3 linked regions of the Nothobranchius furzeri genome follow. Each later gene encodes a partner of the first gene's protein in a complex. Links are inferred from orthologs where the notes say so. Each region holds a gene or a part of one and is shown in the gene's direction. Other genes may lie near its edges. The genes, in order: sf3a3, sf3a2 and ddx46.

Region 1 (8,125 bases):
AACATTTTTGTTTACGAGCAGCGAGGACACGATGGAGAGACTATTTTTCTAGTCTGGCCTGGGAATACCTTAGAATTCCCCTGGAGGAGCTGATCCCGGAGGCTGGAGAGAGGGAAGTCTGGGCCTCTGTGCTTAGGCTGCTGTCCCTGTGGCCCGACCCCGGATAGGCGTAAGAATATGTATGTTTATATATATGGATGGACGGGCAAGTGAGCCAGTGGACGAATGGGAGGATGGATGGGTGAGTGAGTGAGTGAGTGAGTGAGTGAGTGAGTGAGTGAGTGAGTGAGTGAGTGAGTGAGTGAGTGAGTGAGTGAGTGAGTGAGTGAGTGAGTGGACGAATGGATGAATGGGAGGATGGATGAGTGAGTGAGTGAGTGAGTGAGTGAGTGAGTGAGTGAGTGAGTGAGTGAGTGAGTGAGTGAGTGGATGGATGAGTGGATGGATGGGTGGATGGATGAGTGGATGGAAGGATGGTTGAATGAATGGGTGGATTGATGGATGAGTGAGTGGATGATGGTTGAATGGATGGGTGGATTGATGGATGAGTGAATGGATGGGTGGAATGATGGATGAGTGAATGGATGGATGGATGGATGAGTGAGTGAATGGAGGATGGATGGATGAGTGAGTGAATGGAGGATGGATGGAAGGATGGATTAGTAAATGGATGGTTGAATGGATGGGTGGATTGATGGATGGTTGGATGTATGGATGGATGAGTGAGTGAATGGAGGATGGGTGGGTGGATGGATGGATTAGTGGATGAATGGATGTTGGCCTTTTCAGCTCCAAATGCGCTCTACAAAAAGAATCTAAGTTGTCTTGCTAGGGTGGCTTAGATCTTTTGGGGTGTACAGGACTCCTTTAAGGACCTTCTATGACACTGTGGTAGTGTCTGCTACCTTTGATGCTGTGGTCTGCTGTGGGGGAATGGCAGACAGGAACAGCGGAAAACTTGATGCCAAACAAGTCGTCGCCATCTTAGTTGTTCCACTCCATCGCAACATCCTGCCACCAAACCAACAGAGTGCTGTAATTGGCATTAAACAACACTGATCAGGCCAGTGGAAAACCTGCTGAGGTTCCAGTGGAGCGTGGCTGGACCTACATTCAATTCAATTCAAAAATACTTTATTAATCCCAGAGGGAAATGGATTGACATGCAGAGCAAAATCATTTTAGCTTCGGCTAACACCTGTCAAGATTTCTCTGCTAACTGTTTTTAGCTCTTGTAATGATTATAGAAAAAACTAGAGTAATGTTTAATCAAGTACACCCAAGTGTTTGTCGCACAGAGAGGTCCTAACCCAAACTTTGGGAGCCACAGCTCTGGATTAGTGGTTTGCATGAAGTGAATAAATAAATAAGTGCAGCTGCCTTTGAGACAGAGATGAACTTCAGACTCTAGCTTACATTTAAATGTGACTGACAGAAGCACACCTCACAGACCCAAACACAACAGCTGGCCTGTGTGCTGCTGCTGCTTAATTGTCCTTTCAAATATGTGTTCAGACTTTAACCACTGATGGTCTGATCCAGGTGTCAGCATGTTGTTTATTGGTTAGAAGTTAAAATAGGTTTCGGAATCATTGATGTGGATCTCCGGTTCTAATCTGTGATGTTTCATCAGTCTGCTGCTCCTGGTTTGTGAAAGAACTCTATTGTAGCGTGGTGAGCTACTCCGGGCTGAGGAAACTTTCTGATGTTTTTAAAAACCCTCAACACCTCGGAGAAGTGGGTTTAAATGTTCGGAGAGTTCGGGGGAGCCCACGGGCTCGTTCCGACCCGGTCCGCTCCGCCTGTTTTGTTGGATAAATGAAGAGTTAGCATCAAGCATGTAGATGTCGGAAGATGCTGCAGCTAACCAGGAGCAGCCCTCTGGTAGCGGGTCTGCCACTGACCTCTGCCAGGTCTGCCCCAGTAGCACAAAGACAGAATGGATACCCCCCACCCCCCCACACCTCGTCTCCACAACGACAACGACCGCCCCCCCCCTTCCGCAGATAACGCCTCAGCGCCTCAAATCCATTACAGCAAGCGAGTGTTGTCACCGTGGAAAACTGGCTGCTCACCTTCCTGAACAGGCTGGACGCACCGCGGCGGAGAAAACGGTTCCCAAAGTCCCTGTAGTCCACAAAACCCAAACACTGGCTGCCCGGTGCTTTGACTTGCTGCTGCTGGAGAACGTACCGAAGCCAGAACGCCACTGTCAAGGCAGCGACTGTTACTGTGGAGTTTCCGGTGTTGACTGCCAAAATAAAAGCTCTGGCGGTAATTATAAAGATAAAAAGGAATATATATATATATATATATATATATATATATATATATATATATATATATATATATATATATATATATATATATATATATATATGACATGGGATCAGACCTCTGAGAATCATAAAAATGTTGGATATCATTTCTACTTTAGTTTTATCACATCCTGTCACATTACTATACACAGCTCTGACAGTGGAATGCATCGTAAATTGTTGTATTACATTTGAGAATGATTTATCATTTGCACCTAAGAAACAAGTTATAAGCGCCAACACTTCCGGTCTGTGGTAAGTGCGCTCCACCGCGTGTGCGCTGGGATAGTGTGTGTGTCCTGATTTTGCAGGCTTTGATGAGATGTGATTAGAAATAGCTCACAATAAAATAACCTCAAACAGCTCACGTGAACGAAAATTTCTATTTTGATCCATAAAACCGTCCGCAGTCGAATTATTCACAAACTCTCACGTCTGGATCGGTCTGGATGGACAGCAAATAATAATTTTAAAACTTTCATAAAATTCTAATAATATAAAAATAAAATATATGCTAATTTGTCCACTTGTAGGAATCCCGTACTGTCACCGTTATGGACGTTTGTGTGACCACAGCGGAACTAATAATTGGGAAATGTTTTCCTAGCCGTACTGAAGCGGACAGTAACTCCTGAACAGACGCCTTTGGTCAACGTACCATACTGCGCTGTGCTAACGCTTCAGCAGCAACCCTGAACAGTCTTCATTAAACTCTTGAGCATTTTGTAAACGATGGAGTCGATTTTGGAACAACAGCGTCGCTACCACGAAGAGAAAGAGAGGCTGATGGACGCAAAAACTAAAGAAATGTTGCACAAAAAGACCACGGTAAGCAGCGCAGCTTTTAGCATTAGCATGTTGCTAACACCAACGCAATGTTCACGTATTTGTTTTCGACTCTTGTTTCAGCTGCGGGATCAAATTAATTGTGATCATCGAATAAGAGCCATGTTGGATGTAAGTATGAAATGCTGCTCTTCCACCAGTGAGCTAAATGTTGTTTGGTGGTGTAGTTTTTTCCGTCGTGTTAAGTAATAGAGTCAATAACAATCATTGTGCTTAAGATCTGAATTTTATGAATCATTGCAATCGATGTTGTTCTGATTTGTTAAATGTAATATAGAAGTTATATCAGAAAATAAAGCTTATTTGTTGTTGGGTAAAGTTGCTTTTATTTTTATTGAGTTACCTGTAATGCTTGGTTCCTGCCTTGGTCGTCATTCACTTTTAGTGTAACTTTGGTGAATTTTCACCATCCATCCATCCATCGTCTGAACCCGCTTGGCCACGTAGGGTCGCGGGGGGGGGGGGACTGGTGCCCATCTCCAGCGGTCAATGGGCAATCAGGCGGGGTACACCCTGGACAGAGTGCCAGCCCATCGCAGGGGACTTTCACTGAATTTTCACTAATAGTATCCAAACGTTTAGAGAAGTAAATCAAAACCTCAGGTTGATCACTGCTGCTCTTTTAATCTGAAGTTCTCCTCATTAAAATGCAGTGAAACCAGAGGGCTTTACTGACACATCCAGACTTCATACACAAAACCCAACAGGTGGTACAGAGGGAGGATTGATCCTGCCAACGCTTACATTAAATTAAGAAAGGGCAAAAAAAAAAAGTAATTCAATAAATGAGGAAATACAATTGAAGATAACACACTTGGAGTTAAATGAATACAATTATTAATTTCCACATCTATTTTTTTAATACATTTCTTCATTTATATTCCTCACACTTCCTGTGGTATATGGTGATGAGGTGAATTAAAGTTAAAGTCCCACTAGTTGTCACACTGATGTGTGACATTGTTCTCTGCATTTGACCCACCCCCGGCAGTCCTCCAAAGGTTGTTGGAGACACGGCAGCACTCGGGAGCTATTTGGTGGTTTAACCCCCGATCCAACCCTTTAAAGCTTAGTGCCAAGCAAGGAGGCATTGGTTCCTGTTTTTCGAATCTTAGGTGTGACTCGACCGTGGATTTGAATCCCGATATCCCAGTCCCAGGGCAGACACTCATACTAATAGCCCACCTAATAATTGCATCATGTATTTCTATATGTACTTTCAATTTTATAACCAGTTATTGTCAATTTTGGTGGGATCAGACCTCCATAGGTTGATTTTTAAAATGTTTTAAATAATTTTAAGAATCACATTTAAACATGATCCTGAATGAAAGCGTATGTCGTGGTTGAATAAAATACTTGATCAGCTCAGTGCAGTGTGCTGGTTGCTTCTAAAGGTAATGTGCTTTATTTAACAATCTGATGTTTATTTAGATCTTCTCAGATCTAACAGAACTATGATGACATCTGAATCAGTCTGATATTTCTACCTGGAGATTCTAAGAAGCAGAATTTGTCAACTGATCTCACACACAGCTTAACCCAAAGTCTTAGATCCGGAGGGCATTATGCACATAGGGGTTGGGGTGCTCGGAGCGCCCCAACCCCTATGTGCGTAATGCCCTCCTCCCCTTTTCATCTAATGATCGTGGTTAAAAGGAAATCCTCCAGAATGCTGCAGAATCTGTGTCTGCTTTTTTTTTCCTGAGCGGTAAGTCTTGTGTGAGTGCATGCTTGCATGCACGCGCGAGTGTGCCTGCGCTAGTTAACAACTCGTTTTTAGATTGAGAAACTCCGACAGCACACGCGGAGGGGTTGAGGGGGGTGCGGTCTACCACTGCCTCAGTGCCGCTCTCCCGGTTCGCCAGGTGACGCCTCTTTCAGAAGCGTTTTTCTAACAGGAAATGTGGATGAAATGCGTCTCCAACCAGGCATTGACCCTCACTTTAAATAGTATTCTAGAGCTAGGTGTTGTCAAGCTATGTGTTACCATGGTAATTTAGAGCCAAGTCTATTACCATGATGATCTAACAGTGAGTCAGTGTTGGCTAGTTTAATGTCATCTGTTGTCATGTTCTGTGTCTCCTCACAGAGGTATATGGAAGTGAGTGCAAATCTCAGGGACTCTTATGAAGACAAAGATGGGTACGTTTTAATTTTTTTAAATATATTCAATGTACTTTTTTTTTTTGCTTGTTAGAGTTAAGCTGTTGTCTCTTTCTGTTACCCATTGTTTACTCAGGTTTGTTTTCCTGACAGTAAAAAAAATCTAAATATATAATTACATTTTTATTCTGGCCTATCAGAAGCGTTGGTATCCCATTCCACGGCTTTTGTTGCTACTTCTTTTATTAAATATATTAAATATTAAAGTCCAATGGCTCTATTTATAAAACTTTGTTTGGATCCTTTACTAAAAAAATTTACTTGCAGAAATAAAAAATTGGACCCATAAAACACTGCGTACATATAGCTGTACACAATTCCTGCTTTATCTAACTCTACCTAGAAATGTGTTCAGGTGATTTTGGATCACATCCCGCCTCCCGCACACCCACTGCTACCATTATGGTCAGTGCAAATCACTTCATCAATATTCTGGATATACATAAGCCAGCCAACCTGTGGATTTTCATGTGGAAACCATGGCAACAGCGAAAAACGCCTGTTTCACTGAGCTTGAAATCGAGGTGCTTGTGGGTGAGGTAGGGCATGGAAAATCTTTTTATTGTCTTTGAGTGGTACAGCGTTTGGTATGGCGGCGGATTCTGTCAGAGTGATGAGAGATCTGTGGTGAATATAAAAAGAAAAAAAACATTCAAAAGAAGTGGTCAGATGGAGGCAAAGAGGAAGATGGCATTTAAATGCTATCATTTAATGATACCATCTAAACGACTTCCTTATGATGCTGAGATATTTCTGATGTAAGGGAAACATTAAAACTCATTCATAAGTTACATTGAGAATATGTCAGTCTGTGATATTAATTTATGATTTTATTATGGCGAGTGCATAAAGCCCAGCGAACCATCGTTTTGCGTATACAAAGAGCACTCGCTACTGCTTTATGGAAGAAACACTGCCTTGCCAGAATTTGAATTTTTTAGACGTTCATTTAATTAGAATTTTAATTCTGTGAAATCGTGTACTTGAATTTATTTACTTGTTTACTTAAATTACACCAGCAAAATTTTAATCTGTTAAACATCAATTGCAGAATTTCATCTTCAAAAATTCAACAACAGGATTTCAACAGCAAAAATTCAACATCAACTGACGTAACCAAGCCAAAGTAAACATCACTCCATTGAGTCGACATCTAACTGGTGTCACATGATCAGAGAAGTCTAATATGCTTGGCTAAAAGCCTCTTGAATCTATTAATCGATGGTCGCTTTGGCTTGGTTTACCAAGAGGTCACCTCAGTTGTTGAATTTTTATGGATGAAATCTTTGCTGATGTATTTTAAATTTTAAAAAATTCAAATAACACATAATAAAAATTCTTTTTCATAAATTCTATGTCTAAAAAAAGTCATTCTGATGAGATTGTATTTCTTCCATACAACATTTCCTTCTTTTTTCCATATCAGATCTGATAAAGGCGAGGCGTTGGATTGGTGTTTTATGTTTACTTGTGTTTAAGTGTTGAAAACACCTGAATAAAAAATGGAAATTGCTCCCATCCAGCATGAGAAAGGACGAGCTTGGTGCCATCTCTGGACCAAATGAGTTTGCAGAGTTCTACAACAGACTAAAGCAGATAAAGGAGTTCCACCGAAAGCACCCAAATGAAGTAAGAGACATCGTGAGCAGTCAGATTAGATTGTATAGTGTACCTGAAGCAGTCTCACTGCTGTTTGTCTCATATTTTCTGTAGATTTCCATCCCCATGTCTGCAGAATTTGAAGAGTTGATGAAGGCCAAAGAAAATCTCAGCGAGGAGGCTCAGAGTAAGTTCGACGAGGTTTGCCATTCATCCATGTTTAATGGATAAGAGTGGGTGTCACAATTCCCCTGAGCTAGATTTCAAGGTGGTGCTGCCATGTGGGTCTCTCTAAGCACTCCTGACCTGTCCATTTGTTTCTTTCAGTGTTTGGTTTTAGGAATTATGCCTGAAACAATCCACTAAATTCGCATAGGAAACACACACACACATGGCTGATGACTGGAGCAGTTACAGCTCTACTCCAAGCCCCTCCTAGATTCACAGGAGTGAGCCTCACCTCACACCTCACCTTCCTCCGCTTATCCGGGGTCAGGGTTGCTGGGGCAGCATCCCAAGTAGGGCCCCCCAGGCAGTCCTCTCTCTGGCCACGTCCGCCAGCTCTTCAGCTGGGACACCCAGGCATTCTCTGGCCAACCTAGAGATGTATTTCCTCCAGGTAGTCCTGGGTCAACCCAGGGGCCTCCTGCCGGCAGGACATGCCCAAACACCTCCCGAGGGAGGCGTCAAGGAGGCATCCTGACCACATGCCCGAACCACCTCAACTGGCTCCTTTCGATGCGGAGGAGCCAGTTGAGCTGCGGCTCCACTCAGAGTCCCTCCCGGATGTCTGAGTTTCTTAGCCCAGACCTTTTCCGATCGAGAACCATGGTTTCAGATTTGGAGGTACTGATCCTCATCCCAGCTGCATCACACTCGGCTGCGAACCTCCCCAGCAAGAGCTGTAGGTCCGAGCTTGATGAAGCTAGGAGGACCACATCCGCAAAAAGCAGGGATGAGATTCTCCTGCCACCAAACTCCACACCCTCAACACCACGGCTGCACCTAGAAATCCTGTTCATAAATGTTATGAACAGGACTAGTGACAAAGGGCAGTCCTGGCGGAGTCCATCCCCGGTCTGCCGCTCCACAGGAACTGCCCCTGATGACCACGCAATGTTTCAGAGACATCTCAACCACGACAGTCCTACAATATCCAAAGCCGTGAGATACCCAGGACGAATCTCATCCACCTC
Region 2 (8,351 bases), about 31 Mb from region 1:
TTAAACAGTTTTTTTGGTTTAAGAACCAATATTATATAATAAGTTCACAGACGACTGTTGATCCTAACTTAAAATACGTGTAAAACAACAGTGTGAACATCTAACTGTATTTTACTCTGTACACTTGAGGTCAGATAAGTCTGGACTGATCTTAAAGAGCAAGTCACTCCCAAATCAACTTATTTTTTCTGATAAACTAAATGTGCGTTTAATTGTGCTGCAGACACGTGTAGTCAATAGTTTAGCACTTTATTTAAAATTTTAATTTTCTGCCTAAAACTGTCAGTGTTGTGCCATTGTCAGGTAAAAACTCAGCACTGCATTTGAATTTAAATCTGCCATCCCTATTGGCTAAGAGGTACCTTAAAACGTTAGCTGGTACCATATGATGTCACAATGTCGTTGTGAGCCTGTGTGTGTGTGCGTGTGCGTGTGTGTGTGGATTTGTTAGTGGCCCCGCCCTCTCAGTCTGCTAGGCAACAGCATTTGTTGCATTTGACCAAACAGGAAGTGGGAGTGGAGTAATACTTTGGTAGGGGGTGACTTGCTCTTTAAACAGCAGATCACAGCAAAAAGGAAAATTAAAAAGTCTGTTTTACCTTGCTTTAATAATAGAGTCTATCCACTCCTTACATTGCTCCTCGGAGTTGCACTCAAACACGTATTTTTTCTCAGTTTCATCTAGAAATGCTACAGAGAGACAAACACAACATTAACAAAATGTCACCGCCAATCAGCCTGTAAGAAATCAACACAGAAAGGGAGTCTGGGGCTCACTAATAGAGAAGGTCTGACTGTCCTCTTTCTCCACCCGGCACTGCTCCAACAACAAGGCTCCAATTGGCTGAAAAATAAACACTGAACTCATTAAAATGTTACAGCTCATCATCAGGGACAGAGAAAAAAAACTCATCTAACCTCCTCCTCATCTGTCCGGAAGTAAAAAAGGAAGTTAACTACGAGTTTCACCAGCCGCCTCTTGACAACTGAAAACACACACGCACGCGCGTACACGTACACACACAGAGAGAGAGAGAGAGAGAGAGAGAGAGAGAGAGAGAGAGAGAGAGAGAGAGAGAGAGAGAGAGAGAGAGAGAGAGAGAGAGAGAGATGATCAGTTTCACCGATATGACCCAAAATAACACCAAGCGGAAGTGAAAAGTGACGGAGAAAGTAACAGGTCTTACCGTCTCCTTTCTTCGGACCTCGCATTCCCATTTCAGCGGCCATCTCTGAAGGCTGGCGGCTCAGAGAGACCAGCTCCCTCTCGTTGAAACGCATCGCGTAAAATGGGAGGGGGGACACCTTTGCTAGTCTCTACGACCAAAACATTTCAAATAGAGTTAAAATAATAATATAAATGCAGTAGTTTCGTTGTTTATCATGTCGACTTATTCTGATTCTTTATCCGATGTCCTGAAAACGTGATGGAGAGTGTTTGGTTATTTCCAGGGTGAAGTAAAGTCAAGTGAACGGCATCTGCTAAACAAACAGGAAACGCTGATCGGTTCTTCTTCTAGTGGAGAGTTTAACGGTGCTTGTTAAACCAAATAGAAATACGCTTTCGCCACCTAGTGGGCTAACGCTTAAATGGCTCGTAAGAGCGAGGAGTTGCATGATGTCTGGATAGATAACTTTATAAACGTTCACTGATTAATATTAAAACTTTATGTTCCTCAAATACATTAAATATATGTTTGAGTGCTTCTGACTGAACAATAAACATTTACTCATTACTTGAGGTAGTTTTTGTCCCGTGCCCTGCAACTACAAAATAATTTTTCTAGTTTTTCCTATTGTTTTATAAACATTGAATTATAAATTACTTTATTTTCTTACAGGACTTACTATTTTCTTTTGTTAAACCGTGGCACATATAGCAAAATATTTCCTGAAGTATTTTAAAATGAAAATAATTATTACATTTTAGAAAAAAATCAAACATCACTCTGTTCAGGTTATGTTCTTCTTTTTCTTAACTGAAAAGTACTACTATGCCACGACAAAACGTTGCAGTATAAAAATTGATTCGCAAAATAATATTGCAAGACTTAAAATGAAGCACATTGATTTAAAAATCCATGATTGGGAGAAAAGAGTATTGAAAAGATTCCTTGTTAAATTAAATAACTGGAATAACACCAAATGTTGAACTGGTTGGTTTTATGCCTGTTTAAACTGCTGATACTAGCTCATCAAATTCAAAGCTCGTGCTCCATGAGAGCTAAGTGTAGTGAAAAATGGGTTTAGCAAAATTGACAAAGCAAAAGCATCCATCTGTTTTCTTCTGCTTATATGGAGTCAGCTTGTGGGGGCAGCAGCCTAAGCTAAGAGGCCCTCCCCAGGTTGGGCCAGCTCCTCCAGGGGAATCCCAAGGCGTTCCCTTGCCATTCGTGTGACATAGTCCCTCCAACATGTCCTGGGTCTTCTTTAGGTCTCCTCCAGGTTGGACATGCTCAGAAAACCTCACCATGGAGGCATCTAGGAGGCATCCTAATCAGATGCCTGAGCCACCTCAACTGGCTCCTCTACACCGAGCCCCTCCGGATGACTGAACTTCTCACCCTATCTCTAAGTGAGAGCCCAGAAACCCTGCAGAGAAAACTAATTTTGGCTTCTTGTATCTGCAATCTCGTTCTTTTGGTCACTACCCAAAGCTCATGACTAAAGGTGAGGGTAGGAACATAGATCGGCCGGTAAATCGAGAGCTTCGCCTTCTGGCTCAGCTCTCTCTTCACTACGACAGATCGGTACAACGTCCGCATTACTGCAGACACGATCTCATCCCACCTGTAAATCTCACTCGCCATCTTTCCCTCACTCGTGAACAAGACCCTGAGATGTATAAACTCCTCCACTTGGGGCAGGATCTCATCCCTGGACCCAGAGAAGGCATTCTACCCTTTTCTGACTCAGGACCATAGTCTCGGATTTAGAGGAGCTGATGCTCATCCCAGCTGCTTCACATTCGTTTGTGAACTGCTCCAGTGAGAGACGGAGATCACGTTCTGATGAAGCCATCAGGACCATGTCATCTGCAAAAAGCAGAGACCCCATCCTTAGGCCACCAAAATGAATGCCTTCAACACTTTGGCTGTGCCTCGAAATTCTCCATAAAAGTTATGAATAGAATTGGTGACAAAGGGCAGCCTTGGCAGAGTCAACCTCTCACCGGAAACGAACCCGGCCTACTGCTGGCAATGCGGACCAAGCACTGACACCAGTCATATAGGGACCTTACAGCCCCTATCAGAGGGCCTGGTACCCCATACTCCCAAAGTACCCCCACAGGGTCCCCCGAGAGATGCGGTCCAACACCTTGTCTAAATCTACAATTAGTTTAAATCCAGACCCTAAAAGTGAAAGCAACAAAATCAATAAAAGTTGGGAAACAAAACCATAGCAAAAGAAATAATACAAACAATTGATCCAAAATTAAAGAGAACATATTAAATAAATAAACAAAAATGCAAATGTTTCATATCGTTTTTTTAATTTATTTTTCACATTTTAAATGTAGCCCTTTACTCCTAAATAAACTAATCTCTTAGGTCTTTATTATATGCTTTTATCCGCAAACGTTTGTTCGTCGGTCAGTTTTACTCCTGACCACTAGATGGCAATGAATGTTTGAAACTATTTATGAACTGCTTAAGCTGAGAACCAACACGCATGCGCAAAACAATTCTGTCCATCACAGTTTGTCGTTAGATTTGTTTGGGAGAACGTAAGTTTATTTATAATATTTAGCTAGTATTTTGTTGTGCAGTTCGCTGAGCAGTAACGCTAAAACATTGATTAGGCTATATTTAATTTCATTCTGATAGTTTGTTCATTTTGGTAGGTTTAAAACTATCCTTGCATATATGGTAGCACTGTTAGCATTGTCAGAACGACGTCCATCGATGCTAAATGCTAACAGTAAAATGTGCGCGAAAGGATAGTTCAATATAGGGATTTTCTAGTTATGTTATTAAAAATTAAGACGTTTCAACCTAGAATCATGACAAATTGATAAATTGATGAAAGGGGTGTCGGGAAGAAAGTCTTTATGATTTGAGTTATAGATTTAACACATACACGCATACATACATATACAGTCCTGACTAATGTTCACTATTAATACTACATTTAAGGAACTGTGCCGCTCAGATATTCATTCTGGCTGCTGTAACACATAGCGTTACCATTTTATCAGCAATTATATGAAAGTTGTTGAATTTATATTTATGATAGTGTTACTACGTGCATACTGCTTTGTACAGTACTTATAGTTGTGAATGTTTTCTACATTTGAAATAGCATATGTTTCTCAGTTTTATAGGGATGGTAAAAATAAAACACCAGGGGTTCAGTTTTAACTGAACTGGCTTTTTCTGTTTTTTGTTTTGTGTTTATTTGAAGAAATACACGATACATTATGTTTGGTCTGTCCCTTTGATGCTATATGTTTATGTTGTCTTTAGACTGAGTTCATCACTTCAAAAAAATGGATTTCCAGCATCGAGCTGGAGGGAAGACTGGAAGTGGAGGGGTGGCGTCTGCCTCTGAGAGTAACCGGGACAGGCGTGAACGGTTACGTCAGCTGGCTCTAGAGACCATCGACATCAACAAGGACCCCTATTTTATGAAGAATCATTTAGGTTCTTATGAATGCAAACTTTGTTTGACACTTCACAACAATGAGGTGAGGAGGCACTTAACGGATTGGATTGGGCTATGTTAGAATTTTTGATATTTGGGAATTGTGTTTCTAAAGAAAACCCTCTACTTGATTTTAGGGCAGCTACTTGGCTCACACACAGGGAAAGAAGCATCAGACCAATTTGTAAGTCAACCTAAAACATTCTCTAACACAATTAATTGCTACTAGTTCAATATTTGTCAGTAAACATTTTCCTGTATAATTTTTTCTTTCTGAGTTAAATCTTTTCTATTTGGTGTTTTAGAGCACGAAGAGCAGCCAAAGAGGCAAAAGAAGCGCCGGCTCAACCAGCTCCAGCAAAGGTTAAAGTTGAGGTCAAGAAGTTTGTCAAAATCGGTCGACCAGGATACAAAGGTACACTGGCTGCATGGTTCTATATTAGATCAACATTATTTGGCTTTTTGTAACAACTTTTGATCCTCGTCTTTCTCTTTTTTTCACAGTGACAAAACAGAGGGACCCAGAGACTGGTCAGCAGTCTTTACTTTTTCAGGTGAAAATAAAAAATATATTTTAATTCTGGAAAAATCCTGCTGTGTTTCTGGGAATCTGAGACACTTGATAATAGGCTTTATGCTTTATTGTTCGTGTGAAACCAAAGTTAAATGCCATCATATGTTTAGCTCCACTTTAATTATTTTCCAGCCCAATATAACAGTTTTGCTCCCATTGTATGACCCCATTGTGGACACCACTTGAAGATGCGTTGCAGATACAAAACAAACTCCTATAGTTCCTATCAGGGCAATAATAACCAGATGTTACAACATCTGACAAGTTGTTTTTATTTCCCATATTAATCAGATCGACTATCCAGAGGTTGCTGAAGGAATTGGACCCAGGCACCGTTTCATGTCTGCTTATGAGCAGCGTATCGAGCCTCCTGACCGTCGCTGGCAGTACCTGCTGTTTGCTGCTGAACCATATGAAACTATTTCCTTTAAGGTGGATGAAAACTGTAATTTTTGTCATTGTGCTCATGTGTCACATTTCCGTAACATTAAAATGTTTGCTCCTTTAAGGTCCCCAGCAGGGAAATTGATAAAGCAGAAAACCGCTTCTGGACTCACTGGAACAGGGAAACTAAACAGGTACTGACTCTGCTTTGTTTTTACTAAAAAACTAATTTAAAAAATTTTCTAATGTATGAATGTTTTGTTTTCGTTCAGTTTTTCCTGCAGTTCCACTTTAAAATGGAGAAAGCCATTTCTGGTGGTCCAGCTCCTCCTGGCAACTTAAAGCACCCCGCTTCACTTATGAGTGGCCACCCATCAAACGACGGTCTTCCACCTCCACCACCAGGAGGGATGTCTGTTCCTCCTCTGCCACCCGGGGCACCAGGTCCCCCCCAAATGCCCCCACAAATGCCCATGCCCCCCATGCCAATGAGGCCACCTCCCCCAGAGGGCCTTATGCAGTGATAATTTGCTGTTAGAAATTGCATTGGTGGTCAGTTGTTCTGCTCTGCCTGTTTTGTATTTTTAGGATGTTGGATATCTTCAGTAGATTTTCATAACTTTGTTTGCCTAAAAATAAAATTCTAAAGCTAAATGTTATGGAAACATTATCGTCCTCTTGTAAACTAATATCTGGACACATTTTTATTTCTTATGTCCATTTTTTAATTAAAATACACAAATACTGAAAATACCTGAGTGTTTGTTCTACAAAAAATACAGAGAATTATCTGAAGTTTACTCTGATCAGGTTAAAATAAAACAAATCAACAAAATTGATTTTTCTGTATTTAAATTGATCTTCAACACTGCCTAAATCAGTTTGAATTATATTTTAACAGCAGTTTTCATTTTGGTATCAATTATTCAGACTATGTATTCAGTGTATGTACTCATAAAATCTTTTTAAAATAAAATGTTTTAATTTTATGAACTTCTGCTGAACACACAGATGTTTTATTTTTTTGTGACCCAAGTTTCCAGGGGTGACCATGACCCCAATTGGAAACCTTTTGAGGACTGTTGGTAATCACAAACTATGGATTAGAGAACATTCTCAAAAAAATTTGATGTGCTCCACGCCAAATATCATTCAAGAGTTTCTTTGTCCTGTGTCTGTGGACACTCCAGTCTGCTGCAATGAAGACCTCTGAAGATATCCATCAGCATTGCTTTCTCTGGCAGAAGACTTTCGAAGATGCTCCATGGCATTGCAAAAGTGTTCGCCTTACCCTTCGCTGCCACTGGCCCAGTTTGGAGCCTTTGTTTGGGCATTTCACCTCGGAGATGTGACAAACTGAATTTATGTTTATGTATTTAGCAGAATTTGTATAATGTTTCATACAATCTATTTGTAAGAATCGTTAATCACGATTTTTGTAGCTCATGTTTGCAGTAGATTTTCTGCCTTACACGAGTAACCAACGGGGGGCGCTCTAGAGTCGTTTACAGCATTTGCCCCATTTAATCACAAGTGGGGGATGAAATTATGTTTCTAGTTAGGCACATCTATTTAACAATATGCGCACAGTTTAACCTGACTACGTTTTTTTTTATTCTGACAGCGTCCGTACCTCATATTTTGTCAATATATTTTGACATGTTCTGATATATTTTTTGTAAAGGAGGCTGACCTATATAATTGTAAAATACCAGACAATTAACGAATATTAGCCTGCGTGGCTTATCATTTCAAGGCCTGGGTGCGGTTTACACATCGCACCAGCCACGCCTTTTCCTGTCACAACGGAACAGTCGTTCGTAAAGACGGCGGGTCAGCTGACAGGCATCAGCGGACCGGGGGAAGGAAGAAGCGGAATTTGCGGCTGTGAGCAGGGATTCTGTTGGACATAAAATACACCCAAAGGCTAGCCTGGAAGCCAAAGAGTGGTGGTGTTCGTGAAAGAACAAGAGTAAGTTAACGAAACGGAGATTCAGTCATGTATTTTTGCAGTAAAAACGATTTACTGTGATCTGTAAACCGCCAGAGAAAACAGGTGAGCGCTCTCTTTCGTTGACGACGCTAACATTAGCAACTCCTCAGCTAACCGCGGCTAGTTAACGTCAAGCTAGCCGCGGTTAGCTTGATGATAACGGAAAGCATGCTTTAAGATTCCTTCAAAGCTTAAAACGTGCCATCACATAACATTTTGATGCTGTTTTAGTTGGTTTGTTATGTAATTCATATCGTTTACACGTAAGTCACTGTAACTTGCTGTAACACACGCGATAACCTCAGTTTTTCTACCCACCGGAAGCCCGTTAAAAATCCGCTCGGCTCGCTGAGGATCGTCGGCAGCTAGCCTGCTAAATTAGCTAGCCATCGCTGTCTTCAGGGTATTCTCCATCACTTTGATCATACTGAAGGTCAAATTTTGAACCGAGCTAATACATTTAAATAACGTTTTAAACAAACCATACAGGGAAAAGATTATACATCGATGGTAGAAAAATATATAAAATGTATGAACATTGGTAAATGGCCCGAGTGAGCAGACATCTTGACTAAACCGATAAATGTACGATTCAGGTTTGGTGCAGGGTTTAATCGGTCACGACTGCTAGTAGTAATTTGTTTAAGAAAATTCTCAACACTCTCTATAAAAGTGTTTCAGTTATGCCTTCTAGGAATGCCATGGATGTCCTTTTTCCATCCTAAATTTTCTAGAAGCAGCATTTTTTAAACTGGC
Region 3 (8,373 bases), on another chromosome or scaffold:
TCTTGATTTTAAATGTGTTGATTCAAGACAAAAGGTGCCTTTGCTACTTTTGAAGCTAAAATTTTCTCAAAAATGTATTATGTATATTTCATAAAGGTACTGATTCTCACCACTCAGTAGTCTCGCCCTGACTGGTGAATTAGTTAATTCTATTAAGACACAAATTCATCATCACACTCCGCACATGTCTGGCTGATCATTCTGACCCATCATCTTATTCTTGTGTTTAACAGTTTTCAAATGATCCTTTAATACAATAGAAGACAACGTTATTGTCCCCATTAGTAAATCACGAATATGTTTACACACACACACACACACACACACACACACACACACAGCTTGAATAATCCAACACAGGCCTTATTTATCTAGAAAACAAATCAAGTACGATGCAAACCCTGAAAAATTCAGTACATCAAGCCGTCTTCTAACACAATTCAAGGACAAAATAATCCAGACCAACATCAAAGGCACCACAGGTAAAGGTCAGTGGCAATGATTCAACTTTTAGAAAGAGATGGGGCAAAAATATGCATACGATTTTCAAAAAAATAACGACAGCTGACCAAAGGGCTGCACAGGAATGAGGCAATAAAAAAGGTAAAGTGCGATGCAAAGGTAAAAACAGAGCAATAAGCACCATTAGAAAAAGTCATAGACAAAGTAAAATATATAAAAACACAGTAAAAAAAATAGCATTTGTTGGGTGGTTCCAAGGATCTGGATAACTTGCAGTAATAAAATGAACTATGAATTCTGCTCTGACCTGTAATCTCAATCCATTCATGCAGTAAAACCCTCCAATGTGGCATAATTAAATCAATTCTGCAATCAATAGTGGGATAAAATCCTTTTCACAGTGATGTGAGATACTCATTAGCAGTTATGATTATTGGTCGGAGGGACCGGTGGCGCCTGTGCTCGGCAGCCTCGCCTCTGTCAGTGAGCCCCAGGGCAGCTGTGGCTACATCGTAGCTCATCACCATCACTGTGTGAAAGTGTGTGTGAATGGATGAATGATACACTGTAGTGTAAAGCGCTTTGGAGTCCTTACTCTGAGAGGCGCTATACAAGTGCGGATCATTTATCATTTATCATTATGGCAAATGCTTTCTGCCAACAGCAGCCATTTAGGTTTGCGTATGCGTATCCCTTTTCACTTAAGATGAAACCGTAATCATTACTATTTAACTATTTTGTATTTATTCAGGATATCTTTGCTCCAAAACTGAAATTGAAATTTTTGAAGAAAAATAAATGTATAAACATACTAAATCTGTAAGGGAATCATTTTTCAAAGCACTGTAAATAACTGATCATTATATGATTGATTGGGCTGAATTAACACCTCAGCAATGATTTATAAATGATCAGGTGTTGCATCTTTTGCCTTTTTAGTGGTAAATGTTTGACCCTGGTCATACATTCTTCTTATAAGTCAGTTTCTTAAATTAGATTTTGTGCGTATGTTGAGTCCATAACGTTTATTAGTGACATGTGTCCAGACATCACCAATTGATTTGTAAGTGTTGCAACAGTAACAGCATAGGCGTCAGCAGCACAGATGTTGATGCTGTGCCTTCCTGTCATCTTTAATCAGACACAACGTCTAAATGCAAACTGCCAGGAAGCATTTTCTTGGGCTGTTCTTGATGTTTTATGAGCTCTGACATCACTCTGAATGTGATGCCAACAAATGTTTCATCATGGAAGTGACACAGGACCTGTTTAGAAAGTCTGATCCCACTCAGAGGGATTTGTGAGAATTAAGTTAGAACCAAATCTGTAAACAACAATAACATTATTTGTATCCATTTATCTGTGTGCTTGATTCATTTCTAGTTCATAAACGCTGATCTTCTCTGCAGGATCCTCCCGACGACCCACAGAACCCCGCTTTCACCTTGATCTGGACAGGACACAGCCGTGGTCTTCGTCCTCCCCTTCCCCGAGACCGCCTCCCTTCCTGCCAGAGGCTTCGATTCATGGCAGCCGCTCCCACTCTTCCACCCCAGAGAGACGAGGCTCACCCCTGCCAGACAGCAGCGAGTTGCCCGGAGCATCTCTGGAAGACGAAATGGGAGGTCTCAGGCAGCGAGCAAAGCTGGAGCGAGGAGATGATCTCAGTGGCTCCCCACGTCGGAGCCTCCAACAGTATTTATCACGCTTTGACGATGCTATGAAACTCCGGAGTCAGCTGGCCAACGATAAGCAGGCTCAAGATGGAGGTTCTGACTCGGAGGAGCTGGATCCGTTCAGAATCTTTAGACTTATTGGCAGCGTCCTCCTCGCTGTGTTTGTCAGGGTGTTTGTCTGCAAGTATCTGGTGGGTCTACCTTTAAACCAATTTCTGTGCATTGTTATTCAATTTATATCACACGATGATTAAAAATGTGTAAAATTTTACACTTTTTCCTAATATAGTAAAATGTTATTCTCCTGCTCTGGTTTGTGTTTTTTGTCATTTTAGTCAATATTTGCTCCATTTCTGACCCTTGAACTGGCCTACATGGGATTGTCCAAATACTTTCCAAAGGTGAGACTGTTTAGGATCTTGTATTTTTTTAAGTATGTAATGTTCATTATTGTAGGTTTACTGTAAATTAAATAAAAGTTAAAGGTATTTTGAAAATTTGGATAGAAATGAGTTTGTTGAACCACCAAGTTATGATTTTTACAGTGATTTTTTTTTTTTTTTGTGTGTGTGTCTTCTTTTTTTGTGCAGGTAGAGAAGAAAACCCAAACCACTGTGCTAACTGCTGCCCTGCTACTGTCTGGCATCCCCGCTGAGGTCATCAGTCGCTCCATGGACACCTACAGGAGGATGGGGGACGTCTTCTCTGACCTCTGCGTCTACTTCTTCACATTCATCATCTCTCATGAAATCGTGTTGCTCATTGCCTCAGAGGCTCCCTGATAGTAGACCCCTCACTTGCCCCTCTCTCCCTACCCCAACAAGGCATGCTCTTCAGCTCCCTCTGGTGCTTGTTTCCTGTCATTTACTAATCTGCTGCCTTATGAAGAAGGCTGCACACCACCTGGATGGGTGTTTGTAGTTTCAGCTCTTCTCTTACTGAGTACTTTTGACTCTATCAGTGTTTTAAGCTCTGTAATAAGATAATGTGCTTGAAGATCTGAGTTGTTTCACTCTGGATAATCAAATTTGGTGAAAATTTAACAAAAATGCATTTTTTTTCTCTGCTGATATCCATTTAAAACAAGGCTTGGCACCCTTTTTGAACAATAATGTGATGACATCACATACTTTATGGAGAGATGCAGATGAATAAATCTTGTTTAACTAGATTTCAGAGTAATATTTTAAGTTGTTTCTTTTAGTTCTGTGATTACGTTGATCAATCTCAAAAAGTTGATATAACATCTCATCTGAGCAGCAAAAGTACATCTAAAATCTCATTTGACCTTAAAGGAGATATGGAAACATGTTTTGCTGTCATGTATCATGTAAACTTACAAAATTTTTTATTTTTGTCATTTTTCTTATCCGTTAAAAGTCATAGTGACGAAGGAACTTGGAAGCCTTGAACATGGATTTGAAAACTGTGGATTGTTGCGTTGATATGAACTCTGTTTAACTTGAGTCATGTAAGTCATTTGTGTCTGTAAAGGGCTTTGACTCCACTTTTCTGCTTCACTCTGTTCAGCATTCAGAAAGGGTCCATCTTTGCTATTAACAAGTTTCATTGTTTAAATTAAAAAAAAAGCATTTAGTCCAGGTTTGTGTGAAATTGTATTTGAAGTAGCTTAAAAATCGCAGTGAACTTCATACATGATGAGAATATTACTGGTTCGTATTTGTAAGGTATAGTGTGAGGCGGCTGATGTTTGTGGGCTTATTTGTGTTGCGTAATCCTGGTGACGTGTCCTGCTTTTCCCTGTTTAAGCCTCTTTCATAAAATCTTTGGTACAGTTTTGCCTCTTTGCAGTCATGTATTTGCTTTGTCTTTTAATTTTATTGAAACAGTTTTAGTGTAAAACATAACTATGTTTTATCCCACTACTTGTGTAATTTATTTGATAAGTTTTGATAAATTTCGTGAAACAGTTTTTACTGGCTCTTATATTTTAAGTATTTTTGGTGTGATGTAAACTGTAATACCAAATAAAACACTTCGTGTGACATTATTGTTATTATTAATAATTACTAGTTTTACTGTAGCTCCATGGAATTCAAAACCAAATTCTAAGCTTTTGATCCAGTTTTTTTAGATAATTCTCTGACCTCCTACCGCGTGGGGGCGCTCTTCTTTTAATAGGTTCATATCTGACTCGCAGATTTTACACACGCAGGTTCAATGACACAAACCCAACAAGTTTGTCTCTCCGTGCTTGTGTCTATCTCTTAAATAATCGGACTTTTTACCAAACCAAATCTTGCAGACTCGAAATGGGACGAGAATCGAGGTATGTCCAAGTTTTCGGTTTAATTTCGACTCAAATCTCTTACTGACTGTTTTGTTTTTGAATGGCTAGCATTAGCATACCAGCTAAAGCGGATCTTTTTGGATGTTTTCGTGCAGATGTGGTGTAATTTTCACTTGAAAAACAGCATTTGTTTAATTTTATTGATCTACAGACATTACAGGAAACGTTCGGCGTCTCGTGGACGGTCGGGAACCCGATCGAAGAGTCGGTCCCCGGAGAAACGCTCCAAGAAAGACGACCGAGACCGAAACAGGAGAGACAGATCACGTAGCCGAGACCGCCGAAGATCACGATCCAGAGACAGAAAAAGAGCCAGGTGTGTGCTGGTTAGCTGTATGATGTCAGCTAAGATAGAAAAATAAGGCTGAGACACAAATAAAAACACATTTCTAAATAACTGTTTATGTGAACATAAAAATACCACTTACTTTACTTATAGGCTAACAAAGTCAGGAGATCTTTGTGCTTCTAATGAGTTTGATATGATATATTTGTTCTATTTAAGCCTACTGATAAAATGAATTTAAATCACTTTAAAGAAAATAAATCAATGACTATGTTCATGAAGTCATCACGTGGTTAGGGTTTTGCCATTTTTCTGTTTTAATTGTTTGCACATTTGATTCTTTGGTGTTCAGGCGTTCCAGGAGCAGAGACAGGAGGAGGACCAGAAGCCGTGACAGAAAGAGGTCCCGAAGCCGAACCCGCAGGTCCCGGTCTGGTAGCCCAGCGAAGAGCAAGAAAATTGATGAGAAGTGAGTTTTTATACAAATAAATACAAACACTTGGTCATTAAGTAAACAAGTCTGTTTGAGATGACATGTGCAAATAAAAACTATTAAAGTCATGAACAGCTAACACAAATGTACATTGTGTAAATTATCCCATCTTAACTGTTCTTTATATTGTTTATGGAAACGTGTCCAAATTCTTGTTGATTTTCCAAAAATTTAGAGAAAAACTTTCATTTTCAAGCTGTTGAAGCTGATTTTCTTATTTTAAAGGTCAAAAAGCAAAGAGAAAGACAACCTTGACCCTGTGTCCGACAAGAAAAAGATCAAAGAGGAGAAAGAAGATGAAAAAGTTGAAGATGTAAGTTCTACTGATTTGTTTTTTCCTGATGTCAGGAGCTTTGAAATGTCTTTGCGCTGAAACGGTGGGCTGATGATGTTTGTGTCTCAACAGCAAGACTTTGACCAGAACAAGCTGGAGGAGGAAATGAGGAAGAGGAAGGAGCGAGTGGAGAAGTGGAGGGAAGAGCAGAGGAAGAAGGCTATTGAAAACATTGGAGAGATCAAGAAAGAACTGGAAGAAATGAAGCAGGGCAAGAAGTGGAGTCTTGAGGATGATGATGGTGAGGAAGCAACCTGGGATGTTTCGCATAGGAAAATGATGCCATGTTTAAAAAATCTGCTAAATTTATTATAGGAAATAAGTTCTATAAGTTGTAAGCAACTTTCAAAAATAAATGCAGTTATGAACTTTTACCTGATCTGTTAAAACGCAAATGCTCTAACTCTTCATTTCAGATGATGATGATGATGGTTCAGCTTTGATGGAGGTAGATGATGACGATGATGAAGAAGGGGATGCAAAGGCAGAGGGTAAAGAGAAGGATGCAATGGAGGTAAAAAAAGAGGAGGGTGAGAAGGAGACAGATGAGCCTGTGGAGCAGCAGGCTGAAGAAGACGAAGTGGATCCCCTGGATGCCTACATGGAGGAGGTCAAACAGGAAGTAAAGAAGTTCAACATAGGAGCCATGAAAGGAAACGACAAGGTGATGTCATCACTTTGTTTATTTAGAGTAGATGGTTGGAATTGCTATGTTGACTGCTTTGTGTCTAAAACCCGTACCAGACTGTATTCGTTGTCAGAGTTTCTCCCCTTTTGATTTCATTTTATCCTCTTTGTGTTTTGTCCACTGATTCTTGCTGATATGCATCATTTTTAACCTGCAGAAAGGAGCCATGATGGTAACCAAAGTGGTGACGGTTGTGAAAACCAAAAAAGGACCGCACACACACAAAAAGAAGGGGGAGTTGATGGAAAATGACCAGGATGCCATGGAGGTGCGTTTGTAAGGCATCGACTTCTTTCTTTGCTTTCCGCTGCTGACTTACCTAAATTATGGCTGATGTGTGATCAACAGTACTCCTCAGAGGAAGAGGAAGTGGACCTTCATACGGCTTTGTCAGGCTTCCAGACAAAACAGAGAAAGGTGCTGGAGCCCGTTGACCACGGGAAGATCCAGTATGAGCCGTACCGCAAAAACTTCTATGTGGAGGTGCCTGAACTGGCTAAAATTACACCAGAAGGTCGGGTAATCAGATTTTATCACAGAACTGCACATAAAATTTAGAATCAGTATTTTTTTTATTAATGCATGTTTGTACCTAAACAATCTGGCTTTTCTCCGTTTGCTTGTTTTACTTTATACAGAAGTGAACGCATACAGGTTGGAACTGGAAGGAATTACTGTCAAAGGGAAGGGTTGTCCAAAACCCATCAAGACCTGGGTGCAGTGTGGGGTGTCCATGAAGATTCTGAGCGCCATGAGGAAGTGAGTTCACAAACATTCACCTTTTGTTAGTTTTAAAGAACAGGTTCTCTGAGAAAATGTTTTGTTTTACTTATTTTTGAAATACGATCAGTCACCCTGAGTTTCATATGCAGGTTCATCATGAAAATAGTCTTCTATCCCTATTTCCTGCGTGAAGCTTGGTGTATGCTTGACGCGTCCGCGAGGTCCGGACGGCTCCCACGCGGCAAAATTGCGTCATTTTAACAACCACGCCCCTCCACCGCGCCTCCGCACGGCCTAAACTTTCCGCACCGCACACCGAGGAAATTTTCTAACCACGCAGACGGTCGGGCGCGGAAAAACATGGCAGACTGGCAAGAACTAGTATGGCAGAGGTTCGTAAATACAGACATTTGTATGATTCAGCTCTCAAAGATCACCGTGATCAACATGTTGTTAATAATTCTTGGAGAGAAATAGCTCGCACTGTCGGATAAGACGAGGACGCTGTTAAAAATGCTGGAATGCCATGTTGTAAACAGTAATTTCTACTTCTACTATGGTGTAGTGTTGGATGCATGCCTAGAGCTCCATGCTGCCCCCTACAGTTTGGGAGAATATTGGCTCACCGCAGAAACGAGCCGCATGAACCATAAACACTGCGAGTTGTGAAGCGCGTTCCATCCGCGAGCCGCATCACCAAGCGGAAAGTGAATGCGTCACGCATAAACCAAGCCTTAGCCGGAGAATGGAAACAGATGAGGAAATGCATGGATTAAAAAAAGCCACACAGATCTTCGTAAAACTATAAACTAGCAATCTTGGACTCAACCATCTTCCCACGCAACGGGGATGGTTGTTGTTGGTTTTTGACACCAGCAGAGAGCAGAGCGTGACTCAGCTAGTAGAAGCTAACTGTTAGCATTAGCAACGCCACAACATGGCAGAATTCCTTCAGGCTTGAGTTATTTGTGCAGATAAAACATCAACATTGCAAATCAAACAGGTTCAGTGCCAGAGTCACGTTGCTGTAAGCCAATCAGAGGTGAGATGTCCAAAAACCGCGAATGAGCTAGACTGCAAATCCTGCCGTTTTTCACCCAGGCATTTATTTATACTAGAGACCGCTGCAAATGTATTGAAAAAAATTTGTGGATGACAGCTTTAACCCCCAGAAACCCAAATTTAGAAAACAACTGCAAAATCTTTTTTTAACCTTTCACATGTTGTTCTAGGAGGCCAAATAAACGGGCCTATTTACACATTTTAACGGCCAATAGTGTTGCAGAACTGAACAATAGGACCTATTAGCAATGTAAATGTGGTTTTAAAAAGAAAAAAAAATGGGGAAGGTTTATTTTTGTAGACTTAAATCTGATGTTGTAATATTACAACCGTGGGTC

The links.
Region 2: sf3a3 (region 1) and sf3a2 share a complex: the UniProt entries of both Homo sapiens proteins name them as parts of the SF3A subcomplex of the 17S U2 SnRNP complex. The link is inferred for Nothobranchius furzeri from reciprocal best matches to the Homo sapiens genes SF3A3 and SF3A2.
Region 3: sf3a3 (region 1) and ddx46 share a complex: the UniProt entries of both Homo sapiens proteins name them as parts of the 17S U2 SnRNP complex. The link is inferred for Nothobranchius furzeri from reciprocal best matches to the Homo sapiens genes SF3A3 and DDX46.

The regions. Positions count from the first base shown.
Region 1 is NC_091751.1:25,495,340-25,503,464, forward strand, and holds the start of sf3a3 (splicing factor 3A subunit 3), read left to right. Parts: upstream 1-2,924; 5' UTR 2,925-3,050; coding exon 3,051-3,146; intron 3,147-3,227; coding exon 3,228-3,275; intron 3,276-5,256; coding exon 5,257-5,309; intron 5,310-6,853; coding exon 6,854-6,959; intron 6,960-7,043; coding exon 7,044-7,116; intron 7,117-8,125. UniProt on the Homo sapiens protein: Component of the 17S U2 SnRNP complex of the spliceosome, a large ribonucleoprotein complex that removes introns from transcribed pre-mRNAs.
Region 2 is NC_091751.1:56,889,413-56,897,763, forward strand, and holds sf3a2 (splicing factor 3A subunit 2), read left to right. Parts: upstream 1-3,638; 5' UTR 3,639-3,727; intron 3,728-4,466; 5' UTR 4,467-4,489; coding exon 4,490-4,687; intron 4,688-4,781; coding exon 4,782-4,828; intron 4,829-4,949; coding exon 4,950-5,059; intron 5,060-5,148; coding exon 5,149-5,198; intron 5,199-5,509; coding exon 5,510-5,650; intron 5,651-5,727; coding exon 5,728-5,796; intron 5,797-5,874; coding exon 5,875-6,126; 3' UTR 6,127-6,353; downstream 6,354-8,351. Other genes in the region: plekhj1 (pleckstrin homology domain-containing family J member 1), read right to left, coding at 600-690, 778-844, 919-986, 1,188-1,281. UniProt on the Homo sapiens protein: Component of the 17S U2 SnRNP complex of the spliceosome, a large ribonucleoprotein complex that removes introns from transcribed pre-mRNAs.
Region 3 is NC_091750.1:60,370,043-60,378,415, forward strand, and holds the start of ddx46 (probable ATP-dependent RNA helicase DDX46), read left to right. Parts: upstream 1-4,271; 5' UTR 4,272-4,411; coding exon 4,412-4,428; intron 4,429-4,600; coding exon 4,601-4,765; intron 4,766-5,087; coding exon 5,088-5,204; intron 5,205-5,453; coding exon 5,454-5,541; intron 5,542-5,634; coding exon 5,635-5,803; intron 5,804-5,978; coding exon 5,979-6,226; intron 6,227-6,407; coding exon 6,408-6,518; intron 6,519-6,598; coding exon 6,599-6,764; intron 6,765-6,888; coding exon 6,889-7,009; intron 7,010-8,373. Other genes in the region: guided entry of tail-anchored proteins factor CAMLG, read left to right, coding at 1,872-2,329, 2,474-2,539, 2,729-2,920. UniProt on the Homo sapiens protein: Component of the 17S U2 SnRNP complex of the spliceosome, a large ribonucleoprotein complex that removes introns from transcribed pre-mRNAs.